Caenorhabditis elegans: one gene and its partners. The main gene of each other region encodes a partner of the protein of the gene in region 2 in a complex. Each region holds a gene or a part of one and is shown on either strand. Other genes may lie near its edges. The genes, in order: stn-1, dyc-1 and dyb-1.

Region 1 (9,779 bases), on a different chromosome or scaffold from region 2:
ATTCGAGTACAAGTCTCTCCAGTGAAAAGATCTTTTAATCTTTTCAAAGTTTCTTTTCCATTCGGATGATCTGGAAGACATCGTTCGAGTGCATTGAAGAATTTTAATCCGAATTCCTGAGAATCTTGTTGTTCTGAATTCAATCGAAGTAATTTCCCAAGATTCGAAGTTTTGTCGGTCTCGTTCTGGAAAGAAAAATCTAAAATTAACAGCATTCATATCAAATAACTTACGAAAGGAGTTGTCTGTAGTGTATAAAAAATGTCTTGAAGCGCGAGCATAGTTGCTTGAACATTCATTCTTGGAGCTTCTGGCCTGAAAAATAAAACAAATTTTTTTTGAAAAACTGAGGCAACAAAACTAACGGAACAAAGTTCTCCGATGGTCGGAAATCATAGATCAACTGCCGGAACTCAGGAACGTTGAACCAGACTTGAAGAAAACTATTCACATAGCAAAAGTTTCCTCCATTGATAAGCCCGGCTGGTTGATCATTCAGATCTCTCCGCTTTTGATCTTTTTTCGCTTCTTCTTTAGTTTCCTGCTCCTGAGTTATCAACTTTTCAAACTTCTCGAGTCCTAATCGATGTATACAAAATGGATTATCGCGACAATTCGATGACCTGAATCGATAAAAACAAAATTAATTATAGTTTGTTTAATAAAAATGCTTACTTTGAACTATGCATATCGTGTAGAAGACACTTTTGACAATCTAATTTGGCAACTTCCATTGCTTTCGAAAATGTGACTTGGTCCTCATCTGTATTTACTAATGCATTTATTGCTTCATTTCGAAATGCAACTTTTCTTTGATTCGGACGTTCTTTTGGCTTTTTGTCAGTCTCCTTTGTCATTTTCTGAAATTGAAAATCTTTTTAGACATTCCTTTATTAAAGGAAGTGTTCTCGTTAAGAATAAAAATAAAAGCAGACTTTGAAAACATGACAACGCGAAAATATTATTTTACTTTTTATTCAAATTTTAAACTGAATTCTTGCACTTTTTCTTGGCGTTAAGATTTAAAAGTTCGTGTATGAATTATTCCACATCGTCAATAATCAATAGTCCGCGGAGAAAAGAAACGGGGCAATAAAATAAAAACATAAATAGCTGACAGAAATTTGAATATGCGATGCACATTGAATGCAATTTCTTGAAATGCTGGTTTGTGCGTCAGATTAAATGCATTGACTGGTGCATACACGGAGCACCAACTCTGCGGACTTTTTCGCAAAAATTTTTTCTGATATTTTGAGACCCGAAGAACTCTGGGGATGTCCAATTGGGGGGATTACCAACTCGGGGGATTGGCCCCGCCCACAGAACCGTGGCTTGCAATACGCCCATTTCTGCAACTGCCGCACGGTTTCGAAACTGTATTTTTCTCAATAGAGCGAGAATTAACAAGAAAAATACAGTTTCAAAACCGTGCGGCAGTTGCAGAAATGGGCGTATTGCAAGCCACGGTTCTGTGGGCGGGGCCAATCCCCCGAGTTGGTAATCCCCCCAATTGGACATCCCCCGAGTTCTTCGGGTCTCGATATTTTGTTCGAGATTCTTATTTTAAAGATTTTCTTCGTTTTTTCCAAATTTCTTCGATAATATATGTGCTAATTTACAAATATATGTTCTAATTTACAGAAAATGGGTAAACGCTTGAAGTCCAACGCCAGAAAAAGCGCTGTAAACAAGCTTGTCAAAAAGACAGACAACAGAATGTAAGGATAACGATAATTTTATCGAATAACCTTGATTTAAAACGCAATATTTCAGAAAAGAAGAACAAAGAGTCATTAGAACACCGAAAGTAGATGAACAAGAACTCAAATTGGTCCGTGCGTAAGTTTTATTCGTACGAATATGTGTCCAGACAATAATAATTCATAATTTCAGTCCAAAAATCTCATCCGCTATGTTTATGAAATACAATACACAGCTGGGTCCACCATTTCACGTTATTGTCGATACCAATTTTGTGAATTTCGCCGTCAAAAATCGCATTGACATGTTTCAAGGATTCATGGATTGTCTGTTCGCGAAAAGTGAGTCATACACTTTCTTTCGTTTTCTTGTATTTTATCACAATAATTCAGCTATTGTGTACGCAACTGACTGTGTATTGGCTGAATTGGAAAAAGTGAGAAGATTCAAAATTGCTCTGAAAGTTCTGAAAGATCCACGTGTGCAGAGACTGAAGTGTGAGCACAAAGGAACATATGCTGATGATTGTTTGGTTCAAAGAGTTACACAGGTTCGTTTATTCATAATTTTTCATTGTTTTTCATTTAATAAAATCTAACAAATCTTAAACGAATAAAATCTATTATGACGAGAAGAGGCAGGAGACGGAATGTGGTATTGCTGCAGTCTTTTTGTTTGGCAAACTTGAACAAATAACGAATCTGAAAATGAAAAAAATAATATAATTTTCAGCATAAATGCTATATTGTGGCCACTTGTGATCGTGATCTGAAGCGCCGCATCCGAAAGATCCCAGGAGTTCCGATCATGTACATTGTCAATCACAGATTCTCCATTGAGCGAATGCCTGATGCATATGGAGCTCCAATGAACTAACCTTTTGATGCTTCACGCGTACAATCCTAATCGATACACCTTGGTGGCGAGAAATGAATGAAGAATGAACACGACTGGCTTTGCGGAATTTAGCAAATCCAATTCCTAAATTTTTCATTCATTTATGCTTCTTTTGTTTTGAATATTACTTGTTGATCTGCTTTTATTGTTTTGTTGCCTATCCTTTTTTTTATTCAAAAACTTTACACAAAAAAAATCCGTTTTTTTTCTATAAGTATGAAATTAAGGTTAAAATAAAATCCATTTTTACCTGTTCACCATGTGGTGGTCCAAAATCGACCCAGAGAAAACGACCACCATCATCGCCGGTGGCGCGAATCGTTTCAAACGAATGTTGCCACAGTACCTGAATTGTAAGCTTTAAGAAAATGTAGCTTCTCTAAATGTTATAAATCTTTGTTTTAATCTAGAAAACGTTTATCACTTTCTTATTGCTAAATTATTCCAATGAGCTCACCTCTCCAGTCGACGAAAGTAATGATATTCCATTGTCTAGATTAACTATTAGTTCGCATGATTCGCCTCGCCAAAGACAAGGAGCAGAGACTTGAGATGTAGAAAGACATGCTTCATATCCACCGATCACTACTGCACGAACCCATCGTGCCAGTTCTGCATGAGTTTCTACCCGGATCGTATGTGTCCGAACACCTTGTTGAGTTCCAGTTCTCATACGGAAAGAGATCACATCAGTGAGACCTTTAATTACTGGCGCAGTTCGAGAACTTGTCTGAACGACTCTTGTTGCCACCAGAGGACGTACTAGTCTTGGCTCTGCCCATTCTGCTTTCAGCTGTGGAACAGCTTCATAGAACAAGATCTCACTATTCGTAAGCGTCATAAATTTAGGTTTCCACATTGAAATTCCATTTTCTGATACTTGTTCTGCAATCCAACCCATATGTCTCACTTGGGGGTTGTTACCGAGCATTATATTGACTTGAGCCAGTGCCTGAGTCAGAAGACACGTGGTACAGGCATGTAAAGCTTCAAACCATCCATCTGCTTCTTCACTACTTGAACATCTCATTGCTAGGGAATACCTTCCTGATGGACTTCTCATTTCTAGAATTCTACCTTCTGCATCTGCATCTATTCCAGCTCTTGCCACATATGCAAGCTTTAAACCAATTGTTCTAACTCGTTCCCGAATATCATCATCCCATTCAACATTTTCCACAATATTTTCCCGATGCATCATATCCTCTCTTCTATACTGTACTTGCAAGTCAACAACCCGTCCAGCTCGTTTCAATGCTCTTACAGCTTCTTCGTGTGAAGCATCGAGAAGGTTTTCTCCATTCACAGAGATAATGACGTCATCAAGAAATAGTTCTCCAGCCTGATCCGCTGCCATTCCTTTGAAGATTTTGCTACAATCGAAATTAATTTTGTTCTTTAATTGCTAAATTAAACATTCTATTTCAGAAAAAAAAGTGTCGATTTACGTATCGTGTGTACTGCCCGAGGAGAAGTGTACATTTTTGCAAACAATTTCACAGTTATCGCCTTAAATTCCTAATTTTGGATAATTCGGGAAATACTTTCTGTTTTTGACCGAAAACTGTAAAATCTTCTGAAAAAATTAAATGCTTCTCCACGGGGAGTACACACGCTGAGTAAATCGACACACGATTGTGTACGAGGTTTGCTAGTCCATTCTTCCATTTTTCAGTTATTATAAAAATTTTCTCTAGAGAATTGCCCTTGTCATTAAAACTAAAAATTATTTATCATAGATCAAAATTTCAAAATTGACGTAAAATCACGAAATGGCACACGAGATGTATAAATCTCCGCAAGTTCATTCATACCTGATCACAATAGGCATGTTGTTGTCTCTGCCTCCCTTAATTGAAATTCCTAATCCATTTCCATCATATTTCACAACTCGAACTGTCCGTTTCTCTGCTTCAGCCTCATTCTGCTCCATTGTCTGAAAAATAGTATATTTATTCATCACAGCTTGAACCCATTTCTCTTTGGATTTCACTTCCCTTGCTCATAAATATCCCCTTCCACGTTTCCCGACCAAATTTTAAACAATTTCAAACAAATTCACACATGCTAATGTAATTTTTGGAGGAGACTGAGTAAAATGAAATCATGCAAGCTGGCATACCAATTTGTCAAAAGCCGGAGCTTCGATTGACGGAATACTTGGAGAAGGGGGAGTAGATGACATGACGACTTCTTTTTTGACAAGCAATGGTATATTTTCTTTGTCTTTTCCCAAAATTTCAGTTGGACTGTCATACCAGAGATGAGAAAGATAAGAAAGCAAAAGAGTTATACACATTTTAATACTTGAGAATATATGTCGGAACGAAGAGTTCATATAGACTCCAAGAAGATAATTATTGTAGTCACAGTATACCTTTCTCCATCCGTTTTCTCCTTTTAAGTCGTATCATATACAAACTTCATCTCTAAGTAGCCTCATTCCATTCTTTCTTTTTTCTTCTAGCAAGAACGACTAATAAGTTTTCATAGCCAACTCGCCTCCTTTTTTGAAAAATGAGCCAAAATGTGGCGAAAGGAAAAGAAGAAGAAGAAGCATAGACTATTTGTAATATGATCCCATTCCCGTTTCTGGTTTCCATAGATGGATCTCTTCAGATGATATATTTCGTTCGTGGGCATCAGAAAACTTATGTTCGACGTAATTTCGTAAAAAAATAAATGTTTTATGACGCCAGAATACGGTGCCTGGTCTCGACACGACTGAAAACTTACAAAAAGATTAAAGGATTAAAGGTGTGAAAAATGTGTGTGCGCCTTTAAAACCTACAGTAATCTCCAGACCCAATCTCCAGCAGCTGCTTTTTCTAAAACGAAACAGTCTGCGAAATAGTGAGGATTAGAGCCTACTGTACTTCATAAAGGCGCACATTCTTTTCCGACAAATTTATTTATAACTGCTCGATACGAGGTTCTGGCTCGACCCCGCGCTCCATCGGACGCTGAAATGGCGGGAAAATTTTTTTGAAATCGCAAGAGGAATTTTCACGCAGCGCGTTGAAAAAGTGTATGCATTTGCGCGTGACGGTGTTTGCACAAAATACACCGAGGGGTCGAGCCAGAAACCCGTGCTCGATCGTGTTGAGACACGGTACCGTATTCTTTTGTCTTGAATAGCAAAATTTCGCATTTTGGTATTAATAAGAACGACCACTATTTTTCAGCAACTTGTATCATTCCACATTAGAAAAATGAATGATATTTTATTATACCGAAATTTAAATTATTTAACAATAATTGTTTCAAATATAGATTTTTGTTCGTTTTTAGAAACCATCCAATTTATTTTTAGAATTTCGCGAAAAATGAGTTGTTTTACAATAATTTCCAGTGGTTTTCTAGTTTTCGGAATATTTTATCATTAAAAAATTACTTGTAATGTGATAGCAGTTGGATCGAGAGTAGCCAATACACGATGCCATTGTCCCTGAACAAAAATGTCGACCAGGCCGGATCGAACGGCGGCCATCGAAACGACGCCGATCTAATCGGAGCAATACTACGAAATTGAGCCGATTGTACTCTGTAAAGTTGAATATTGCATATACCAATTTATGCCAAAAATTTGAATTCAAATTCGGGAGGATTTGTAGCGGAATGAAGGAAAGCGAGAAAAAAAACCAGAAGAGAAAGATGCTAAGAAGCAAAGAAACAGAAAGAAAAGGGGCAATAATAGAATATTTGGGCTGTGGGAGCAGCAGAGGAGTCCTCTCTCTTCTATTTCCCCTCGTTTTTCTTCTTCTCTCAACTGCTCTCTTCTCCGTCGGATGAAGCCGGAGAGCTAGTGCGACGGCACTCCTGCTCCCTCTTCTGCCTAACATGCTCTCTGATGAACTCTACCGCGCACTCCGAGTCTCGCTTCTTTCTCTACATCTCACTCTTTCTTTTTCCATCTGACTCTCAGCTTGGTGCCTCGAATTTATATCGGTTATGATTGTGTGTTGGGCGAAGAATCCCGTTGGCTTCCCGCCACGAGACGAACACTTACACACTACGTGACGAACACATGCAATTGTATTGTTGAAGAGAGAAGAAGCAAGTTGATCCTTTATTCTTTTCTTTATTTTCTTTCTCATTTGGTTGTAGTTGTAGTTTTCTGTGTCGTACGATATATTACAACCAATTGCAATTACTACATTAATCAGAAGTATTCCCTTTTACAACTTTTTTTATACAGTGAAAGTTAAATATTATCCAATTTAATTCCTATTTTCGAAATAAATTGAAATTACTATTAGGTGTTCTGTTTTTCGTGATGAAATTTAATTTTCAATTGCTGCTCTAGATACTTTAGCTCTCTAACTACAGTACCCCAGCAGAAATGCAATCTTTAAAAATCTATAGAAAATCCATCTGAAAATCCATCAATGTTTTTTCTTCCAAAAGCTATTCTATTCTGTGTCAAACAATTCTGAAAAACTTGAGAAAAAATTGAATAATTTTAGAATCTTGTTCCTTGATCTTTCTTCAAACATTTAGATCATTGACCGTATCTGATTTCTTTTTCCCTCCCTCCCCTCCACCAGTTATTGTTTCTCAATTTTTTGACGTTGAGCTTTGTTGTGTATTGAGCGAGAGACAAGGAGAGAAGTAGTTTATTACAAGAAAGTGTAAGAAGTAATGAATTATAAAGAGAGGTCGCTTACGCGATAAGTTCATGATGACCCAAAGGTCACGTCTGTATAAAGTTCAGGTTTACGTTCCGTCCACAACATCTCCCCTCTTATATGACAAAAAGCCAGAAATTATGCCTGGGCTAGGGGCATCACGACCAGAGGCGGTATATCGACCTCTGCGGCGAGTGGAGGCATGATCAGTGTTTGGGGCTGATCCTCGCACAACTTGTCGTGGGTGACTCTGTCGAAGAGAATGACACAGGAGGATGCCGGGTTGGAAACGCTCGCCGTCACTCGCAACATCGGATTCCAGCAGGGGGTCCAGATGGGTTTCTTTGATTGGCGAACTTCCAGAAGTATATGATTGGCGACTCTTTGCCACACGGCGACGTCTTCTGTGGCTTTTCTTCAACGAACTCTTGCTCTCCGTAACATGAATCGTAGTTATATTTGCACAAGTAGCATTTCGAGCATTGCCGGCAACCGACGAGACGACTTCACGAGCAGATCGAGAACCAACAGAATCACAAGCTGACAAATCTGGAGCACTAAAACCAAAAACAGAAGAATCTGAAACTAAAACTGGATTAGCTTCCCTCCCCTCCCCACGGACACCTTGAGCGACAAATTTTTGGCGGCAACTAGAGCGCGGAATGTTTTCCAAGAGCGACAATTTACACGGATTTTCGATGAATGATGAAGCATAGTCATTCCCACGGCTCCGGCGACCGCAAATGTGACGGAGTTGGTTCGTGTGAATTCTTTGAATTCTCGATCCCAACTGTACTTCATAGAGTACTCCGTTCAATTGTCTTTGAACCACTCCATAAATCCAGCCAAAATTGTGCTCTCCTTGAACCCGAGCAAGGCACAATTGCCCAATCTGAAACGCTTTATTGCGCGCAAATCTTACATACTGGCGCTTACTACTACGCGGCGCAGATGCAACAACATGTCTTTCAACATTTTCAGCACGATCTTTGTATCCAGTAGGAATCCTTGAGAACGAGTGCATATTTTGCTTCGAGTTATCCACAGTGGATATATGATTAACCATTACGGCCAGAGCATCACGCATTTGAGGCGAGTGGCGCATCCAACTGGTGCCTAACAGATTATTGTTTCTGTTCCAGACGTACACATACTCAGTGTATTCGACACCTTTGACTTTGAACCATACGAGCACTCTACCTTTGACAGCGATTTCAGTACCATTGGCACAGCAAATTTTGTGGTGGACCTTTTCGAGATGCGGTTTCCCGATCTTTTGCCAGTTCTGGACACTGATAAGGGTGATGTCACTGCCTGTATCAAAAGTGAAATCGATCTGTTGTCCTTCCACGTTCAACCGAAGACTAGGCGATGTCTGTCTTCCAGACCCAACCTCGAGCGTATTCACTTCAGAATGCTCAGTCTTACGATTGGTCACACCTGAATTGGTGGAACTCTGAGGACAGTCTTTTGAAACGTGCCCGACTACTTTACACTTGTAACAATACGGAGATCTGTAGTTTCCTTTTCTCGAATCCTTCTTCTTGTCATCTGCATCAACTTGGTTTACTTCGAATTTCGGATGTCTGGCGGGAGTTGCTGTGATGACTTTGGATTGCTGCTGCGTTTGGATGTAACGGATCCATTCGTCATGGACGTCGGATAACTTGAGTTTTTCATCTTTCCGCTCAAACTGTTCGCAATATTGCATCAAATAACGCTTTGCTAGGGCGTCCTCCGGCGCATCCATTCCACGTAAGAAGATAAAGATCGACCAATCATCTGTCGACATATTCGAGAGTTTCGCATCGAGAACTGCCTCACCAACGAGGTTCGTATACTCGAGCGGATCCATAGACGCTCCAGAGGCTCGACTGATAAGGAGACAACTCTGCCGTCTAATCATCAGACTACGCTGAGAACCGAAAGACTTGCTAAGAGCTTTGATAGTGTCTTCGAAAGGAACGCTATAGATATCCTCAACATCACGTTGTGAATCTACAAATCGTTGAAACGTCGATTCCTCGAGGCAAGCTACCAACATGCGATTTCTTTCGCGATTTGAGAGCTCAGCTCCATCTTCGGTAAATGTGAGCTTGTGCCGAGCCCACCACTTCGTGAAGGAATCTGGTTCCGACACATCAAAATGGTACTTGGGTAACTGACGCAGCAAGTCACTCATAAGTTTTACGCTATTTAGCGGTTTTTCACCCCCGCCACGAATCTAGGCTGATCCCCTTGCGCCGCGCGCAGCCGCTTATTCTCTTCCAGCAACGCCTGCGACATCTCCATCTGTTGCTTCAGCAACGCCGACTGGATTTTATTGTCCTCCATAACCTGCTGAGAAATCTCAGTCTGAGTTTGGAGTTGGGCTTGCATAGTTGTGAGCGTCTCAGCGAGCAAATTTGCGTTAGCGGATGATTTACCTGACGATTCCATTGTCCTGGTGTGATTTCGATATTCCTGATCGCCACTGTTGTGTATTGAGCGAGAGACAAGGAGAGAAGTAGTTTATTACAAGAAAGTGTAAGAAGTAATGAATTATAAAGA
Region 2 (8,446 bases):
GCAGCTGACTTTTTGAGACGAAAAGAAGAAGGATCGCTGAAAACGATAAAAACCTTTTTCTCTCTCTGCAGGAGTAGTGGTGGGGAAAAGAGGAAAGAAGCAAAAAATACAACGGCAGGGAGCCCGGAGCCCCACCGCTAAGGGTGGAAATATATTGAGACGCAGGCGTACCGATTGGAAAAGAGATCAAGAAAATAAGAAGAAGAGACGAGTTTCCCGGGAGCCCGAAAGTGAGTTGATGACGATGAAAAGACGGGGCTCTCTTGGATGTGTATGTGCTACGTCTGCCGAATGCATCGTGCGGGAAAGTGAATAGGGACGCAAAAATAATCAAGATTGTGGAAATTATAGATGTCTCCGGAGTTCTACTTATTTAGGGGAAGATATAATAGTAAACTTTAAGCCTAAAATTTAAAGTGTTTATCCAAAATATTGAACCGCGGGAAAAAATATTGAAAAGAATAGTAGAAGTTTGAACATTTCGAAATTATTCACAATTTTCAGTTTTTAACTAATTTTGCAATGAATAAATAAATATGACTTGAGAAAATTGTTTGCAAAGTGCATTTTTCCATGCCTACGTTTAACACTGGGTGTGAGAATAGGCGGGTATGTGTTTCTCTTCGTTTTGCAACCAACTGTTTCTAATTATTATTGACGGCGCTCGTTGTCAGTGCCTTTCTCTGACTGCCAAACAAAAACGCAAGAAAATCGCAGGAGCAATCGAGCTGCAAAAGAGCTGCGAATGAGGCAGAAGCATCGGGAGTAGAGAAGACGGCGCAGGAGGGGAATGAAGAAGCGGTATCTGAAGAGGGAGAGAAGGATCTGATGGAATGATGGCACATTGGCACGTTTTGCTAGTGTGTCGCACGCTCAATGTGCCAATGTGCCAATGCGAGAAAAAGAGCAATCGGTGTGCGCTTCGTTTTGAGTCGGGGTGTGCCTGTGGATCGGAAGAAGCAGCAAAAAAAATCGTTGAGTGAGTGAGGCGACAGCAATCCCAGCACTTCTCGACAGATAATGATCGATTTGTTGTTTTTGGAGAAGAATTATGACCAAAGCAAGGATCTTTGTTCACAGGTTGGGAGAGAAAATTGGAATCTTTCCCTAGAGAGAAATCGGCAATTTTTGCGTTAAAACATTCAAAGAGATGCTATTGTCTGTTGGGATTTTGCTTTAAATGGTTTCAAATAGCCTGTAGATGCTATAAGTAAACGCAAATCCCTACTCGGCAATTTTCCACCAACTTTAACAACTTTAGAAATGCCAAACGCAGAAGTTGCTAAAGTTGAGAAACAGTTCGATAAAGTTGACTAAAGCAGGCAAGCTTAGTAAAAAGTTGCAAAACGCTAAAGTTGGTTCTTAAGTTGCGACGAATTGCCGCAGGCGATTGTTCAGCAGAAGAAATACAAATTTTTTAATTATTTTTTTTAGGTATTCTCAAAAATGAAGACGGGGAAACTTTTCGAAGTTCTCTCTAAAAATGATACTTCTACTACACTTTTTTGGAAAGTTTCGTATCATCTTATTGAAATTGGGAATCCTTTTCTACATATAAAAATATTTTTTAAACACTTTTTAGCTTCCACAAAATTTAAATTTTGATTTGAAATTACTTTTTCAAAATGGGTTTTCTTGCAAGAAAAAAAATCGAAATTGTGAACAGCTTGTAAAAATCGATAAGTGTGTACTAATGGATATTATTTTAAAATTAATTTTTTGAGTTTGTATTTTTCTCTGAGAAAAATTTCAAAATTTTATTTTTTGTTCAAATTTCATTCGACTTACGGCTGGTTTAAAAGTGAAGAAAAAACATGTTAATCATGTTAATATAAAAAAGAAATCAATTAAAAAAAATTCAATTTTAAGGCGTTTCAATAATCCACACATAAGTCTCCCAAAAACCTTATTTTGCACTAAAAACGTCAGATATGCTGGGCACCAAAACTTGCAGCTACTTTTCATACTTTTCATACAAGGTCTGCGAACACGATACTTGAAAAAGTAAAAAAACTAGATTTTGAAAAGCAGACAACTGGTCTCCGCCAACACGATAAAGAACATGTATGTTTCGTTGATGAGCTCCGAAAAGTTTTCGCTGTCTGTCTGTTCAAAAACATGAAGAACATTGAGCACGTTATGTGAACCCAACAAAAACGTCTAGGATAGGCCGAGTGTAACCTGGAAGTGGAAGCCAGTGAATGATGTTGTGTAATTTACGATGGCAGAAAACAATGTTATTGATTTTTGTTCTTTTTTTTAAGCCAAAATATTGCTTTTTTGATCCATACATTTTATTTTCTTGCTTTCAAATGAAGTATAATCTGTGAAAATACTTAGGATTGCATGGTAATTCTGATTATCATTTGTTCTTTCTTCGATAATTTTTGTTCAAAACGTTTGAAAAATACTTATTGCCACAAAAAATTTGAATGAGTCTTAGAGCTTATTATCATCTTAAATCACGAAATCTTCAGCAAGGTCTGTAGTTTTTTAAATGAAAATTGCATTTTCTTGATAGTAGAAAAATGTTTGGGTAGTGTGGACAAGTGTGTAGACAATTCAATTTTTCAAATTGAGGGGCATTTACAGAATTACAAGAGTAGTATCGCCAATATGAAAAAAAAATTTTTGAGTCGGATAATATTCTAAATTGTGAACAAAATCAGTTTTTCCGCCACTTCTCGAAAATGGGAAGTTTCGGAAATGTAACACCTGTGGGAACTGATTAACAACGCGTTGGGAAATTGTATAGTGATTAAACATCGGTATTCATTTCTATAAATATTATTCAAAAAAAATTCATGTAATACATACTTAATTGAAAACCACATAAATTTTCAAATTCGATAGTTTCACCATATACAAAAAATTCAACATTTTAACTTTTTCGACGCTCTTTCTAAAAAAAAATTTGATCACAGTACTACTTCAATAATAATAATAATAATATTGAAAATAATGACTAACCTTTTTAGAACACTTAAATACATTGCATTTAAATGTGTTACTAGCTCCATCCCGTGCAATGTAGGAAAATATTTGAAGATCTTGAGAATCATGTGACACGTAGAATATCCTTCAAAATTTTTACAATAACAATTTTACAGAAATTTAACAATACCTGTATATTGGGTGAAACATGACAAGTAATTTAGATTCATCCCAAGAGAGACCTTTCTCTTTCTGTTTCTTCCGCTGAAGAACAACTTTGACACCATCGACGGATACGGTAATGTCGACCGGGCGTTTTTTGATACCACGAGCTTTGAATTCGTACTGAAAATGGTTTTATTCAATAATCAAGGAATTAGGAAAATAGATTTTCAAAAGCGTTTTCTTCAAACACTTCAATTTGGTTGTTTAAGAAAAAGTCAGTCAAAATCAACAAATATGACACGGTCAAATTCAAATTCACATCGATGATATGCTTGTTCAAATATTGATTGCTTATGTTTCCTTAATCAACAAAAAAAGTTTTAGATACGACTATAGGTTTTAGGTAAAAAAGTATCAGCTTTTTTGCAGTGTGGCAGATTATTCAATCAACGCCTAGCATTTACTGACTTTAATATTGATTGATTTAACAAACGAAAAAATTGTAGAGAAGAAAACACTAGCAAGTGTAGAATTTGTAAAAAATTCAATAAATTATGATCTTTCAAAGTATTACGATTCTATTTTCTACACTACTAATAATAATGTTGCAACCATGTAATTATACAAATTTTAGATTATACTACTAATTTTCAATTGCAAATTTCAGCTCATTTTGAATATATCTCTATTTGCGAGTTTTTATAAAAAAAACTCACTCGAACTCGTCGCATCGCCGCCACAATCTCGATTCTCGTCCCGGGTCTAGGAATTTCCATGCTTCCGACATACTGCAAAAACCCTTTTTGGATTAAATCCAGTAGTTTTGTTTTTGTTTTCTTTTTGAAAGAAAAAAAAAACTAAACTTCCCACTATGATTAAATTTGCAAACGCGTTAGGACCAAACTTGAAGACAATCTAATCTACACCCTCCGGGCTTTTCAGAATATTCAATGTTCGTTTAAACAAGATTAGCGTTGTACAAACATTCGAATACATCTTTTCACAAACCTTTGCTTCGAAATGAATACCATGCTGATAAGCGAGTTCGTTATGGAGTGGAATACGGCAGTCGTAGACATCGTCGGCGATGATATCGTACGGACCATGCTTTTTCCGCACAGGCATTATATCCTCACCTCTGTAAAATATGAAATAATGATGAAATGGTGGAAATGTTAGTAAAAAAGTATTAAAGAAAAACGGTTAGAGAAGTAAAACAAGATGTTAGATGGTTTCAGCAATAAAAAACATGGGTGTTTTGAAGAAAGTGAATTTTAAACAATAATCAAAAACAAAGTGGTATTAGACACTCGGCAAATCGCTGTTAGTACGGGAGGACGTATGTCGATTACAAATTCCTTGTTATAAACATAACATGTTTAAAAAAACTGAATGAATGTCAATTTTAATAAAGTACAGAGCCTCTGGTTTGTAAATGTTTTTTATTAATAATATTACTGGATTGCGTTTCCGTAATAATACATCTTTTTTGCACTTTCTACTTGACCGAAATGTTTTCGTGCAGATGAAAATAATGAAAATTAAAATATTTACATGATACTACGCAAGACAACATTTTATCAGAAAGAAAATTTGGACTTTAAAACTATTTTCACGCAGAAAAGGCCATGAGGTTTCAAAACCAATTTTTTGTTAGGTTAAGATAGGGCTGGTAATCCAGAGGACTGGCCTTTCCGAATGTACTGATTTTCGGACAATCGGGCGTTCGGTTTTGAACATTCGTGGATTTATGGGAGCGTATATCCCGACATTTTTTTGTGTTCCGCGTCTCATTGTGATAATGCGTGCGTTTCTATAGTAAGCAGCGGAACCCAGAAAATGTCAGGATGTAAGCTCCCCTAATTCCTGTGATAAAAAAAATTTCCACCTTATTTTGCCACCCATGGTGACTCCATGTGGGCGGACGTCCAGATGGCCAGCCCTAGGTGGAAAAATAACAAAAGTTGAAGTAGTGCCAGAATGTTATTTATGCTGAAAATCAGCAGAAAAAGAGATAACATTTTCAACAATTTTCCGAATGTATTGATATTTTAGTCCATGTTTTAGGTACACTATTAGAAATTCATTTTAAAAATTACTATGCTTTCAACTGTAAATTAACAAAGATTTTTTGTGCACTTTGAAGAAAATTGTTAGTTTCATATTCTGACTTTTCAGCCCCTAAACAACTTTCCTACTGATGCTACTCCGTTTCTAAATGGACAATAAACACTTGTTAAACATTTCTGAAAAAAAACGCTCACTCAAAACCGTATCAAACCTTCAACTGCATATCGAGTATATCAGCTACCATGAGCCAGTATACTACGAAGCAATTGTCCGATATCAGGACAATTTGGATATCGTATTGAAACTGGTGGTGACGTTGGAAAACGTTGGGTGAAGAGGTGAGGTTCGCTGAAAACTCAGTGATTAAGCTGCTAAAAATGACAAAAAGGGCACACTATGAAAAAAGAGCAAACGAGGAAAAATAATTGAGTGATGATGAGAAATGATGAGGAACAATGGGCCAAGTAGATGGGGGAGAGAGGAAATGAAAGAAGAAATGAATAACTCATGCGGCAACGCAATTTTAAACACTAAAACCAAATATTTTTGCTTCTGATCATTTTCCTGGAGGAAAAACGGATAAGGGAGTATTGAACAAAAGAGCAAATGCAGAGAAAAGTGTAGGTAGTGTAGCTAAAAGGACTTTTAAGGAAAGTGGACTGACCAAAAGTCCGTCCGCAAATTGAATATGAGAATGGAAACAGGAGGAAAACGGAAGCCGATGTTAAGAAGGAGGGAAAGAAGTTTAGGATGATGGGGGGGGGGGGGGGGGGGGGGACAGAAGAAATAGAAGAAGTTGCGAGCCGAACAAAACTGGAAATTGGTTGGTTGGGAGACCGATGAGCGAGGTTCCCTGGAGACGTTTTCAAATAGGAATATAAAGATTGAAGATGTGTTGAGAGAAAAAAATAAAATAAAAACGCAAAAAAAGAGGAGGGGCGCCTACAAAACGGCTACAAATATGATTGTCAGTGCGGGGGAAAGATATTTCTACTTTCATGGATTTGAAATGAATAAATGTAATGTTATATATATTATACAATACAAAACTTGTGTTACTGTATTTTTCAAGTAGTTCCATGCTTTCATATGAATTTTTAAAATTACCATTATTACTAACACAGCACGTGATGGCAAGCGGTCTCATTACGATTTGATTTACAAAAAAGGCGACGTCAGCACACCTTCAAAAATGCCAAAAAAATCTGTCGAGAAGTCTGCGTCTAGATCCCCGCACATTCCGTAGATCTACGTAGATCAAACCAAAATGGGACACTCTGACACCAAGTGACACAACTCTTATAAACTCGTTTCTCTGATTGATTAGTTGAAAAAAGCTGATAGTATTCACTACAAAAGCAATGATACAAGGAAAATTAGTGCAATATCAAACATTTCGGATTGGTACAAGTAGAATGGCATACCAAACCATTATCGCAATGCATCTAAAAATAATTCAAAAAAAAATTAATGTCAGTTGAATTTCCAACATTGTGACAAAAAATGTGGTGTTAATTATTTTACGTGGTTTCGTATACTGAAAAACTGTATTTATTTACATGTTGATGTCAATGTGAAACATGATAAAAACAAAAAAAAAGCTTCACTATTTAGGAAAACTATATGAATTAAAAAATTACACATAGTTTGCGATTGGGAAACAAATTTCAAAAAAAAGGAAACCATACTTTTTTTTAGATATTGGCAGTAGCATAATGCACTAGAGCAAATATACGAAGTTATATTCTAGAAATTTGAAAGAAACGCAACAAAAATCAAGATGAAAGCATGCAAGTTTTGCTCTTTATATATCGTCTCATCACCCGTTCTTCTGCGACATTGGAAGCAATTATCCACACTATCACTCAGTTCCTAATCGATTTGAAAATAGAAAAAAAAATCGGAAAATGGAGGACAAAACAGGGGCAAAAAGAGAAAAGCGGTCGGCGGGGAAAAGAAAACGAAGAAGCGGTTGCGTGTGTGCCGTACTCTCTCATCGTCTTGTCTTGCGCAATTAGTTGTGATTTTAGGAAGCATGCGTGTGCATGTATGGGTGCACTTGTAGCTGATTGACTTATGCGCATCTCCTTCTTTGATAGAATTGCCGAGTAGAAGAGTTTAGATTTGTTGGAGTGATGGAGAGGAGTCACCGCTCCTCCTCATCCTATTCCTCCACATCTTCTTTTTTATTGTGACTGACTTTGTCGGGAGCCTTGCTCCAAAAACTTACTCTATCTTACTCTATCTACCACATCTTCGTCTTCTTGCGTTGGCCTTTTTCCGCCAACATTTTTGATGTAATGTGTCTTCGGAAGGCGTCTGAATAGAAAACGAAGCAGAGTTGCATGTTTTTCGGCAGTTCTTGGATTAACTTTTGTGGATTGGAATGTTTGTCAGAATTAGATGTGGAACCATCAACTTCAAAAACATTTGGGCCAAGATCATGTTGTGTAATTTAAAAATAACAAAATTATACTTATACTGAAAGAGTTCCAGTTGTGATAGCCAAATTCAAAATAGTCTAGCCCTGCATTGTAAGTACATATAATACGATGAGGCCAGGATAGACCTTTAGTTTTCAGTTTTTGCAGCGTCAATGTTATATATCATATTTAAAAAAATGTTACAGTTTGACACCAGAATTTTAATTTTCAGAAAACGGTTAATTGTGCAAATACCTATTACAATCTAAATGAATCAAATATTGAGGGTATTTATATTTTATTAAACATTGAAGGTTAAGCACCAAAATCTGAGGCTTTTATTTTTTAGACCCAAAATTGCACAAAAATTATCGAATTTTGTAATGAGACGTATTGAAAATTCTGGAAAAAAAGCTCATTTTCAGCTAAAATTAATTTTTTTTCCCAACTTCTCGGCGTCGCAGCGTCTGGAACTCAATGTTAATTAAATTATCACTCTTTGATAAATATTGTGGTGTTTAATTAGGCGTTTATTATATGGGTTAAAAAAATTGTATTTTGTCGTGCTCACAATATAAAATGCTGCACAAATACATTTTAAACTTTTTTAAAATAAAGAAATACAATGACCGAGCTCCAAATTGATTCAACTATCGCAGTTTCAAGAATATTATTCAAAAAACCTGTTTTTCGAGAATTTCATATTTCAACCAGTTTCAGAAAAAAAAATCTGAGAACAACGAAATTTGGATGACAAGAAAAAAAAGAAGGAAAAAGCGCACAGAAGGAAACAGAGGAATAACAATCTAAACAAGAAGACGTCGTTGATTAGCTACTTGAAAAACGTTCAAGAG
Region 3 (11,625 bases), on a different chromosome or scaffold from region 2:
GGCCACCTGGTAGTCTTGGCCTAATTTTTACTCGGTGGCCTAACAATTCAAAAAGTTTAGCTATCACATGCAATATAATGGCCTAACTTCTTGCACTGCAAGTCCGCGAGATGGACAAAAATCCAAATTTTTAGCTCTTGGCCTAGTTTTTCCGCTTAGTGGAAAAGTTAGGCCACCAACATAAATTTTTCCAGAGACATCGGTCGAATGGACGAAAACGGAGCGATCGAGGTGGTGGCAAGCGAGGATGATCTGATATATGACAAGAATAATTGTCTAGTCGAACACTGGAATTTGGAACGTCTCCTGAATCAGAATGATTTGATAAAAGGGGTTCAAGTGGTGTCACGTGGTAGAGGACAACCGGTCACGGCAGTTTGTGTCGCCAGAAGTACACAATTTCATGCGGCAAAGCTGAAGGATGAGCTGAAGAGCATGTGTCGTTCACATCATGTAGGTTGATGAAGCACGTGGCCTAGAAGTTCTAGAAAGTTAGGCCATGGCTTTCTAGGACACACCAAATTTGCAGAAACCCCCAAATTGTCGTTTTGTAGCCTAACTTTTATGATTTCTAGGCAATCGGAAAAATAATCTTCCACGAGCCAATGGGGACTAACTTTTATTCGGTGACCTAACTTTCTCTTTTCCTAGGCCACCGATGCAAAATTAGTCTGTGGCCGAACTACCCACATTGTGGCCGAACTTTTCAGGTCTATTTTTGAATTTTCAGTTTGTCGCTCCCGACGTGTTCGCCTTTGTCGATGATTTCCCGAGAGTGCACACGAAAATTCAAAAATTCCGGATTCGCGCCATGCTGGAGAGCGGACAAATCTCTGTTTTTTAATTTTAAGATGTTTTTTCTGTGTATTGTCTGTAAAATGGAGTTTCGATAAATATTAAAAGTCTGCTTTCTTGTTTTCTAGGCCACGAAATGGAAAGTTAGTCCGTCGCGTTAAAGTGCAGTCAAAAAATATTCAAAACGCAAACTTTTTTACTTATATTTTTAAACTGTTTTTTTTTAATTTTCCAGATGAAAAGTTAATGAAAAAGTAAGGCCACCAAGTGAACCTAACTTTGGCCTAACTTTTCACTTGGTGTGAAAAAAAAAATGAAAAAGTAACGCTTTTAAACGATTTCGAACCTGAATTAATTAATTTCACTGATTTACGCCTGTAATCGTGTTTTTTAATCGAGCAAAAATGCACCGAAAACATTAAAAATCGGTGGAAAATAACAATAAATAAAATAAATAAAAATAAAAACGTGCAAGCGCGCTCCATCGAACAAATCCAATTGGCGGTAATTAAAATAAGAATTAGGCAAAAACTGAGATTTTTTCAATTTTCAAAAAATCATATAAAATTTAGAAAATTTTTTTGAATTTTTTTATCATGATATTATGTCATTGTGGTACCATAGGCGTGTTTTAAAGCAATTTCCCCACTAGCGCTACTCCACCTTTAAACGATCCACGTGTATTCAGCTCGACCAACGCCTCGAAAATTTTCTAATTTTCAAAATTTTTTTTAATAATTTTTTTTTTCATTGCCAAGAGGAATTTCACCGCAGCGCGTGCAAAAATGTCTGCATTTGCGCGTGACGGTGTTTGCACAAATGACACCAAATGGTCGAGCTGAAAACACGTGCGATCTTCGTTTAAAATTAAAAAAAAATTGTACCAGAAAAAATTGATACAAACCTTAATGAGCTCGTGAAAAGTTACACGGATTTCTGGCTTCCGTCATAAATTGAAATGGAAGAGTTTTTGCCGAACTAGGCCATTTTGGCTCGGCCATATCTGGGGTAGATTTACGGCGCGTTGCGTGTCGCGTCGCGGCTTGATTTTAGTTGTCAAACTGAATGTATTTGTCCGTGTGGAGTACACAACTTTCCCAAGTTGAGTGGAGAAATCGAGTCAAAATGCAATAACATTGAATAAAGCCAATTAATAAAAAAATTTATTTGAAAAATTTTAATAAATTTTACGAAAATCGGCGCTTAAATTGAAAACCAATTATGCAAAATGCGATGTGACGTCACAGGGTATTTTCCCGCCTTTTCGAGTCATCATTTTAGCAGTTTTTTGTGTAAAATTCGTGTAGATCACGGGTAGATCACACAATTTATCTCTTATTTCGTATTTCTGTTTTTTTTTTTTTTTTTTTTTCATTTTGATCTACATCAGGGGTGGGCGGCAAACGATTTTTCCCGGCAATCGGCAAACCGGCAAATTGCCGGAATCGAAAACTTCCGGCAAATCGGCATACCAGCAGTTTGCCGATTTGCCGAATTTGTCGACAAATTAATTTGTCGCCCACCCCTGATCTACACGAATTTTAAACAAAAAAAAACATTCCGCATAAAACCGCCTCCTTTTAAAATTGTGAAAGTGGAGAAACAAACACACGTTAAGCCAAAATTTCTTTCATTTCGTGGCCTAGAAAATCCAAAAACTTAGGCCACTAATTTTCTCTTCCTCATCCACTTCGTAATATCCCTGTGTATAATGCGTATACTTTTACACCTCATTGAGTTGAGACGGATGGGGTGAGGGGTCCCAATGTTTCAGTGGGGGCCCCCTATCTCTTTTTCTCTGCACTCTCTCTCTCTCTCTCTCTCTCTCTCTCTCTCTCTCTCTCCATCTTTCTCCGTATGCTCACATTCATCCCACCGCTGCTCTCTGAGCCAATACGTCTCCCCCCCCCCCCTCCTCTCCTTTTGCACATCGATCCGTCTTGTGTCTCTCTTTCTCTAATACTCTCTATTTCTCTAAGTCTCTCTCTCTCACTCACGTTTGCCTAAATTCACTTTCTCCAGTGTTCCCTTGAGTGCTCCGAGAGCAAAAGCGTATACCACGAATTAATTTTTAATTCGTGTATTTTTGGCTCGATTTTCCCTTTTTTTTCAACATTTTTCTAAAAATTATTGCTGCAATCGCGCTTTAATGGCAATATTACCTGAAAATTCGTATGTTGTTGCAATGCAATCGCGCTCTATTGGACAAATTTTTAATCCGAATTTTGAAGTTTTCTTTAGTGGAAATCTCTATTGAAATTTTTTTATAAATTGTTTATACAAACACGCTCTAATGATAAAAAGGCTTTAAATTGTGTACTCCGCGTGGAAAAAAGCAAGTTTTTTGTTGTATTTTTTGAAAATATTTTTTTTAAAGAACTTTTTTTGAATACTCTGTGTAGTTCTCGTGGACAAGTTTGGGCCTATTTCGCTTAAAAACCTGAAACACGCGAAATTCCAGTTTCGGGGGATTTCAACTACCCGATTAGAAAAAAAACTTTTTTCACAAATTCAATTTCTGCCGAATCAAAATTCTCCGGAATTCAAGTTTCCGCGAATTTCAACCTAAAAAAATTTTAGCTCAAAAACCGTAAGGTAGTTGAAATCCACGGAAACGAAAATTCCGGCGAATCAAGTTTCCGTGGATTTCAACGCTTATTGAACAAATTTCTACAAAACGCCCCCGGGAGTTCAAATCCGCGGAATCGAAATTCCCTGGGATTTTGATTTACCGGGATTCAAGTGGTGTCAATGGGAGAGGAAATGCATTTTCTCTTACGCGCGTGGTGTCAGAGTGTCTCATTTCGGTTTGATCTACGTAGATCTACAAAAAATGAGGGAAAAGAAGAGACGCAGAGTTCTCAACTGATTTCTCATTCCCGCATTTTTTGTAGATCAAGCCGTAATGGGACAACCTGATACCACGTGACCGTTATTATTTTTCTCTCAATCCTGAGATTTAAAATCCCGCGGAGTCGAAATTCCCCAAAAATATTTTTTGTACTCCTCGTGGACAACCTCGTTGGTTCCCTGAAACATATTGGCTTAGTAATGTGCCAAGCAAATCAGCGCGCATACATGCAAAACCCATTAGGCTCCCCCCAAATGTCTTCTCTCCCAGAGTTAGACTCCGCCCACTAGGAGCCAGAGCTCCCCCAATTTTCTTTGTTTTAAACCCTACCACTTTTTAGCTCTGGCCAGCCATTTTGTGGGTGGAGTTTTGGTTTAAATTTTTTTAAAATTGATTTAAAATTTAAATTTTAAATTTCAGACACTCTGGGTTTTTCTCCTGAAATGTTGTGGTCAAATGGTGGAGGAGGACCACGTGAGCCGAGCAGTGCACCATCACCAGACCATCATCGTGCAATGCATTCTGTACCACCAATTGTGGCATCTGAAATGCAACAATTGATTGATGAAATGCGTGGGTGTTCAATTTTGCGGGAAAATTGGCTAAAAAACGCTAAAAAATTCCCGCGTTTTTGATTCTCCGGAATTTTAACTTCTATGGGATTATTTTTCGGTGGATTCGAATTTTCGGAAATTTTCAATAAATCTTTTTTCATTAGAGATTTTCAAAGAAAAAGTAGAAAAAATACCTAACTATGTAAAAAAAATTAACGGAAAATCTCCACGTTTCTAAGTCTTCGGAATTTAGATTTCCCTGGAATTAAGTACTCGGTGGATTTGAATTTACGGGATTTTTTTTCTTTAAAATTTTTTTCAAATTTATGTTCAAGTTAGCACAGCAAAAAAATTTTTTTTTTAATTCACGTTTTTGAATCTACGGAATCCAATTTCCCTGGAATTTCGCTTCCGCGTATTTGGATTTCTGAGTTTTTAAATATAAATTTTTGCAGAAAATGTGAAAATTACGTGGAAACTCAAAATTCGCCGAAAAAGGACAAAAAATCTCGAGTTTCCAATTTAGCGGAATAAAAATTCCCGGGAATTTTGTTTCCGTGGATATTAACTACCCAAATTTTTTACCATTTTTCTCAATTCCAATTTCAATTTTTTCATGGAAAAATTGGTTAAAAAACGCAAAAAATTCCCGCGTTTTTGATTCTCCGGAATTTTATTTTCTCTGGGATTTTTTTTCGGTGGATTTGAATTTTCGGAAATTTTCAAAGAAAAAGTAGAAAAAATACCTTATTATGTAAAAAATTAACGGAAAAATTTCCACGTTTCTAAGTCGTCGGAATTTAGAGTTCCCTGGAATTAAGTACTCTGTGGATTTGAATTTACTGGATTTTTTAAAACAAAATTTATACGAAATGCTCAAAGTTGATACACTCTCCAAAATGTTCATGAAATTTACAAGTTAACACAACAAAAAATGTCAAAAAACTCCGCGTTTTCAAATCCCCCATTATCGAAATTTCACGGGAATCCAGATTCCAGGGAATTTGGCATTCGGGGAATAAAATTTTCGGATTTTTTTCTATGAAAATTAGTCAGGGTCTGGATAAAATAACAAACGAGTGGAAGCAAAAATTTCGCCGCAAAAAGAACAAAAAACTCGAGTTTCCAATTCCGCGGCATAAAAATCCCGTGAATTTTGTTTCCGCGGATATCAACTACCCGACTTTTTTAAAAACATTTTTTCTCAATGCTCAATGTTGTCGAAAAAACACGGAAATACCTTCAAAAAAAATCCAAAAAAAAAACCCTAAAAATTCCGGTATCCAATTCTACAGAATCGAAAATTCCCTAAGAATTTTGTGGATATCAACTACCCGAGTTTTTTTTTGAAAATTCATGAATTTTTCCGCTACTCCTCTTGAGAAAGGGAAGCTTATAAATAATTCTTCTTTGCGAAAAAGTGCAAAAAAATTATTGGCTTTCATTGGTTAATGCCCAAAGTTCAGAAAAAAAGTTGAATCATCAATAGAGCGCATTTTCAGGTCTCCAAGATTTCGACTCCATCAGATTTGCCACGTATCGAGCCGCCTGTAAACTGCGATTTATTCAACAAAAGACGAAAGTTCATTTGGTAGATATTTGGAATATGATTGAAGCTTTTCGAGAAAACGGACTCAATGCATTACCCCTACATACTGTGGTATGTTGCAAGTGTGCTCTATTGAGAATGTGGGGGAAATTTTCAGATCAAAACGTCACGCGCCGAGCTTCTGCTAACTACAGTATTCCACAATTTGAATAAAAGACTTGTAGCGTCACAACATGTGGACACGGATGTATCGATTTCTTTGCTACTCGCGTTTTTGTTAGGTGCTTATGATAAGTGAGTTTTGGACTCCTCTCGGACAAAAAACTCACGCTTCTGAATCCCCGGAACCCAGATTCCCCAGGAATTTAGATTCGGCAAATTCGAAATTCTAAGAATTTTTTCTTGTGTTACTGCGTGAAAACTGTGTATTTAGAATTCCAATTTTTACTGCAAAAAATAACGAAAAATATTCGGGTTTTCGTGTCTCCAGAATCTAGATTCCCTAAGAATTTTGATTCCGCGTATTGGAATCTACGGGATTCAATCTACACATGTTCTGTAAATAACAGAAATTTTGGTAATATATGAAAAAATTTAAAATCCTAAAACTGAAAGAAAATTTCCGGTTTTCGGATCCGCGGAATTTCACATTCCACCGGAATTTGGTTCCCACAGATTTCAACTATCCGAAATTTTTTCTGTTTTTTTTTGTTTTCAGCATAATGTTTTGATTTTTCAAAAATGAAAATTGACTGAAAGAGCAGAAAAAATCTCAGGGTTTCATATCTCTGGAATTAAAATTTCCCAGTGAATTTTTATTCATATAAGGACACTTTGCAAAAAAATTTTTTTTTGATAAAGTCACGGATTTCTGGCTTCCCTCATAAATTGAAATGGAAGAGTTTTTGCCGAACTAGGCCAGTAGATTTACGGCGCGTTGCGTGTCGCGTCGCGGCTCGATTTTAGTTGTAAAACTAAATGTATTTGTCCGTGTGGAGTACACGACTTTCCCGTCCGGCAGGCGATTATCAATGGAGCGCGAAAAATTCAATGAGGAAGGCCAAAACCCCGTGCGCAGTTAGGCTGTAATTCTCACAACGACACTCCGATATTCCGCTACCTAGAAGTGACGTCACACGCTTCAAAAGCCAATTTTTCAGACAAAATACCGGACGTTTGACGGTTTTTTCAATAAAAGTCGCGTTGGCAACACTCTGCGCTGGAAAATTGGTGGACAAGCTGAGATGTGAGTTGCGCTTGCGAATTTCAAAAAAAAATCTGAAATTTCAGACATTTTCTCTCAAATCGCTGATTCGAATGGATTAATGGATCATATTAAATTTACTGATTTTTTGCAACAAATCCTCTCCCTAACCACTGCAGTTTTCGAAGCACCGACGTTTGGATTTTCCGAAAACGCGGTTAATCAGTGCTTTCATAAGGATGAGAAAGTATCTTTGAATGTGTTTCTGGACACTTTTTTGAGGTAGATATCAATTTTGGAAATAAATAAAAAAATAGATTTTAGAAAAAGTTTTGAAAAAGTTTTGAAAAAATTAACCTTTTACACAAAACTACGTTAGCATGTGGTGCCAGGTTGTCCAATTACGGTTTGATCTACAAAAAATGCGGGAATTTTTTCGCCCAAAAAATGTGACGTCAGCACGTTCTTAATCATGTGAAATCAGTTGAGAACTCTACGTCTCTTCTCCCGCATTTTTTGTAGATCTACGTAGATCACGCCGAAATGAGACACTCTGACACCACGCGCGAAAGAGAAAATGCATTTCCTCTCCCATCGGGGGGAAAACCAGTCCCTCAACTCACCCAGAATAATAATTTAGGTGTCTTGGAAGTTCTGAAACACCTAACATTTTGAAAAATTAGAAAAAATAATAGACGTAGGGCTGAAGTCCTCCCGCGGCCACGTAAGGCATCCCCGTGGCCTAGGATTTTCAGAGCGGTGTAACTTTTGAAAAACTGTAAAAATTTTTTTTTAATTCTGCAATAATTGTATCTATAACTTATTCAATGAAACCAAATCAAAAAATCGAATTTTTCTTTTCATGGGGTCACGGGTCCCCACGCCGCCACCGAAGTCCTCGCCGTGGCCTAGAAACTTTCAAACAGTGCATCCCTAAAGCCACTGCGCCGATTTTCTTGAAACTTTATCAGAACACTTTATATAACAATTTCTATCAAATTATCAAATAAAATCGAATTTTAGTTGTCATGGGGTCACGGGTCCCCCCCCCCCCCCCACGGGGTGACCGAAGTTCTCACCGTGGCCTAGAATCTTCAAAATGGTGTAACTCTATAGCCACTGCGTTAATTTTCTTGAAAATTTATCAACCAACACTTTGAAACCTGTTCTGTCAAATTATCAAAAAATCATACAAAATTAATATTCCAGCGATCCATGTCCCCCATGCATAATGTGGCTCCCCTTGCTACATCGAATGGCGTCTGTGAGCAACGTGTACCATCCGGTGGTGTGTGATGCGTGTCAAGTCAGAAGTTTCACAGGATTTCGGTATAAATGTCAGCGATGCGCCAATTATCAGTTGTGTCAAAGCTGTTTTTGGCGGGGAAGGACGAGTCAAAATCATTCAAATGAGCACGAGATGAAAGAATATTCCAGCTATGTGAGTTTTTTGAAAAATCGATTTTCCACGTGGAGTACACGAAAATGTATCTATAAAGCGCGCGATAAAATTATTGATTTTCCGCCGGCGATGAAGAATCGATAAAATTATTGATTTTCCGCCGGCAATCAAAAAAATCGATAAAGTTATCGATTTTCATTCGACAAAAACGATTAGTTAACAGAGAAATTATCAATTGCTGGACAACAAACAATCAATAAAAATGTAGATTTTCCGCCGGCAATCAAAAATCGATGAAATTATTGATTTTCCGCCGGGCAAAAAAAAAATCGATAAAATTATGGAAAAAAGCGTTCTCAACTCCAAAATCAATAAATCAATAACTTAGTAATTTCAGAAATCGCCGACAAAACAGCTCGTACACTCAATTCACAAAAGTCTCCAATGTATTCCTGCCACGTCAACCGTCGGCGATGCAAACATCGATATTTTTAACGCAAAAATCGGTGGCCCGGTCAGCAGCAAACCTGCTCGACCGCTAAACCTGAACAACATCGTCCCGGCGACACCGACGACGATCCGCCGGCAACACGCTGCCACGTCATCAGCGGACTGGCCGACGTCACCGGTACTTCTGCCGGGACAGGCGTCGCATGGAGGAGTTATTGATGATGAGCATAAGCTTATTGCGAGATATGCAGCAAAGTTGTCGGGAAGGGCTGATGTGAGTTTTTAATCGAAAAAAATCAGGAAAAAATCAATAAAAATCTTGATTTCCCGCCGGCAATAAAAATCGATAAAAATCTTGATTTTCCGCCGGCAATAAAAAAAATCGATAAACATCTTGATTTTCCGACGGCAAACAAAAAAAATCAATAAAATTATTGATTTTCCGCCGGCGATAAAATTCGATTAAATTATTGATTTTCCGCCGGCAATCAAAAAAATCGATAAAATTATTGATTTTCCGCCGGCGGCAGAAAGTCAAATTATTGATTTAATAAAATTTGATCGATTATCGATTTTTCTTTTTAAAAATCAATAAATTGCAGTATCCCCTATCAAACGGTCGAAGTATGAATAGTTCAATGGTCGGAGACGAACGGACCCTTATTGCTCAACTGGAAGAAGAAAATTCAATGATGGTACGGGAAATGGCTCGACTGGAGAGCCAAACAACTTCCGATGACGGGCTCGCCGGGCTCCGCGACCGGAAAATGGAATTGGAAGAGAAAATGTTTGAAATGCAACAGAGGAGGAGAGAATTAATGATGCAATTGGAGCATTTAATGGCTCAGTTGAATGTAGGTCATACCTACTGTGGCTAACGCGCTCTATAGATAAACAATGTAAAAATCGATAATTTTGCAGAATTCAAAAACAATCGTTATATTTTCCTCCAAATTTAGAAAAAATACTTGATAATTTTCAAAAAATTCGAAAAATCGATAATTTTTATATTTTAAGAAAACAAAGTTTTTGGAGTTTTTGATTTTCCGCCGGAGATAAAATCGATAAAATTATTGATTTTCCGCCGGCGATAAAAACCGATAAAATGTGTAAACCTGTCGATTTTTTAAGCTTCAGTAAAAATCAAAAATTCAATATCGGCTTTTCTGAAAAATTCAACCTTCAAAAAATCAATAAAATTAAATTATCGATTTTTTGATTTCAAAACAACAAAAACCTTTTCCAGACGGGACCCCAACCATCAGGAGGTGTATCATCTGCTTCTCTATCCCAATTACCATTCACTGCATCGGATCAACAGTTGACTGGAGTCAATTCGACAGTAGCAAATGCATTCCGTGCGGGAAGTCTGCCGGCGACAAGTCTACAAGGAGACTTATTACATGCTGCTGATCAAATTACTACTAATATGAGCGATCTTGTGCGGCAACTTGATTTGGGTGAGTTGTGACGCTGGTTCATAAATTAAAATATATATAATGACTTGGTGACTTGGAAATATTTTCCAAAAATCGATAATTCTTATTAAAAAATCAATAATATTGGAAAATCGATAAAATTATTGATCTTCCGCCGGCGATAAATAACTATGATATTATTGATTTTCCCCCGGCAATCAAAAAAATCGATAAAATTATTGATTATTCGCCGGCGATAAAAAATTGATAAAAGTATTGATTTTCTATCGGCAAAGACTATCGATTTTCTCTCTTTTGCGGCAACTCGATTTGGGTGAGCTCCGACGTTGGTTGATAAAAATCGATAATTATTTTGTTTGGGGAAAAAATCGCCAAAAGTCGATAATTTTAATAAATCAATAATTTCGAAAAATCGATATTTTGGAAAATCGATAAACATAGATTTTTCTGATCACCGCAACTCGATTGTGATAAAATCAATAATTTTGAAAAATTGGCAACTCGGAAAAATGGTTCAATTCCAAAATGATTATTACAAAATCGTTTCGAAAATCGGCTAATTGGGAATAACGAAAATTTCAAAAAATCGATAATGTCCAAGAATAGATAATTTTCATATTTTGATACTGCTGAGAAATTGAGAATTTCTGAAAATAATTTTACTGTTGGTATCTAAATATCAGTAAAACTCTTCGCTGCGAGACCCACTGCCTACGCCTTGAAAATGAAAGTTCCCAGCTTCACAAATGTATAATAATACTATTCGCTGCGAGACTCACTGATGCACCATTAAATTGGAACTTCCGAGTTTCACAAACGTATAATAATATTATTAGCTGCAAGAGCCACTGTATGCGCCTTGAAAATGAAAGTTTACAGCGTCACCAACGTATAATATTACATTTCCCTGTGAGACCTTCCTCGTGTGCCTTTTAACGGAAAGTTTACAGCTTCTCAAACGTATAATAATACTTTTCGCTGCGAGACCCATTTCGGCGACCCTATAATAATTTTTTCCAGCTCAATCAGACGAAAATGGCGTAACAATCAATGGCTTCTGAAAAACCTCGAATTCCTCCAGATTAATCTCAAAAAATTGCAACTCTCATATCGGGTCGCCATCGTCCAAATTGGCTCCGAGCTCAATTTCCATTGTTTTTTTTTGTAAATTTTTTAGGCAACAATTTTCATTGCGAAAATTTTTTTTGAAAAAATATGAATATGATAAATAATCAAAAAAACATGATGGCTGCTTACCTATGCGGAGGAGGGAGATTTTCAGGAGAAAGGCGCGAAAAACGGGTAAAAAAGTGGAAAAAATAAAAACAAACATCTAACCGAGTGACTGTGTGAAGGGGAAATTGAGTCAAAAAAATAAATG

The links.
Region 1: dyc-1 (region 2) and stn-1 share a complex: the UniProt entries of both Caenorhabditis elegans proteins name them as parts of the dystrophin glycoprotein complex.
Region 3: dyc-1 (region 2) and dyb-1 share a complex: the UniProt entries of both Caenorhabditis elegans proteins name them as parts of the dystrophin glycoprotein complex.

Annotation. Positions count from the first base shown.
Region 1 is NC_003279.8:9,497,634-9,507,412, reverse strand, and holds stn-1 (Syntrophin-1), read right to left. Parts: upstream 6,146-9,779; 5' UTR 6,092-6,145; coding exon 5,996-6,091; intron 4,538-5,995; coding exon 4,416-4,537; intron 3,975-4,415; coding exon 3,059-3,974; intron 3,011-3,058; exon of another isoform or gene 2,948-3,010; coding exon 2,852-2,947; exon of another isoform or gene 2,686-2,851; coding exon 2,593-2,685; 3' UTR 2,582-2,592; exon of another isoform or gene 2,581-2,581; coding exon of another isoform or gene 2,437-2,580; intron 2,406-2,436; 3' UTR 2,255-2,405; downstream 1-2,254. Other genes in the region: Ubiquitin carboxyl-terminal hydrolase usp-48, read right to left, coding at 1-185, 234-315, 366-623, 676-857; F30A10.9 (PIN domain-containing protein), read left to right, coding at 1,648-1,721, 1,777-1,842, 1,897-2,045, 2,097-2,254, 2,437-2,580. UniProt on the Caenorhabditis elegans protein: Adapter protein that binds to and probably organizes the subcellular localization of a variety of membrane proteins. May link various receptors to the actin cytoskeleton and the dystrophin glycoprotein complex (DGC).
Region 2 is NC_003284.9:14,046,606-14,055,051, reverse strand, and holds the start of dyc-1 (Dystrophin-like protein 1), read right to left. Parts: upstream 5,518-8,446; 5' UTR 5,381-5,517; intron 5,225-5,380; exon of another isoform or gene 5,204-5,224; intron 4,238-5,203; 5' UTR 4,225-4,237; coding exon 4,108-4,224; intron 3,888-4,107; coding exon 3,816-3,887; intron 3,280-3,815; coding exon 3,125-3,279; intron 3,080-3,124; coding exon 2,971-3,079; intron 1,005-2,970; exon of another isoform or gene 669-1,004; intron 268-668; exon of another isoform or gene 143-267; intron 43-142; exon of another isoform or gene 1-42. UniProt on the Caenorhabditis elegans protein: Together with dys-1 and hlh-1, participates in a common muscular function.
Region 3 is NC_003279.8:1,479,017-1,490,641, forward strand, and holds dyb-1 (Dystrobrevin-1), read left to right. Parts: upstream 1-4,066; 5' UTR 4,067-4,089; coding exon 4,090-4,219; intron 4,220-5,702; coding exon 5,703-5,860; intron 5,861-5,906; coding exon 5,907-6,043; intron 6,044-6,837; exon of another isoform or gene 6,838-6,909; coding exon 6,910-6,995; intron 6,996-7,039; coding exon 7,040-7,235; intron 7,236-8,162; coding exon 8,163-8,394; intron 8,395-8,590; exon of another isoform or gene 8,591-8,611; intron 8,612-8,752; coding exon 8,753-9,079; intron 9,080-9,407; coding exon 9,408-9,659; intron 9,660-10,051; coding exon 10,052-10,265; intron 10,266-11,264; coding exon 11,265-11,305; 3' UTR 11,306-11,482; downstream 11,483-11,625. Other genes in the region: acs-16 (AMP-dependent synthetase/ligase domain-containing protein), read left to right, coding at 195-453, 731-844. UniProt on the Caenorhabditis elegans protein: Plays a role in cholinergic transmission and as a functional partner of dystrophin (dys-1), necessary for muscle maintenance. Required for localization of ctn-1 near dense bodies in muscle cells.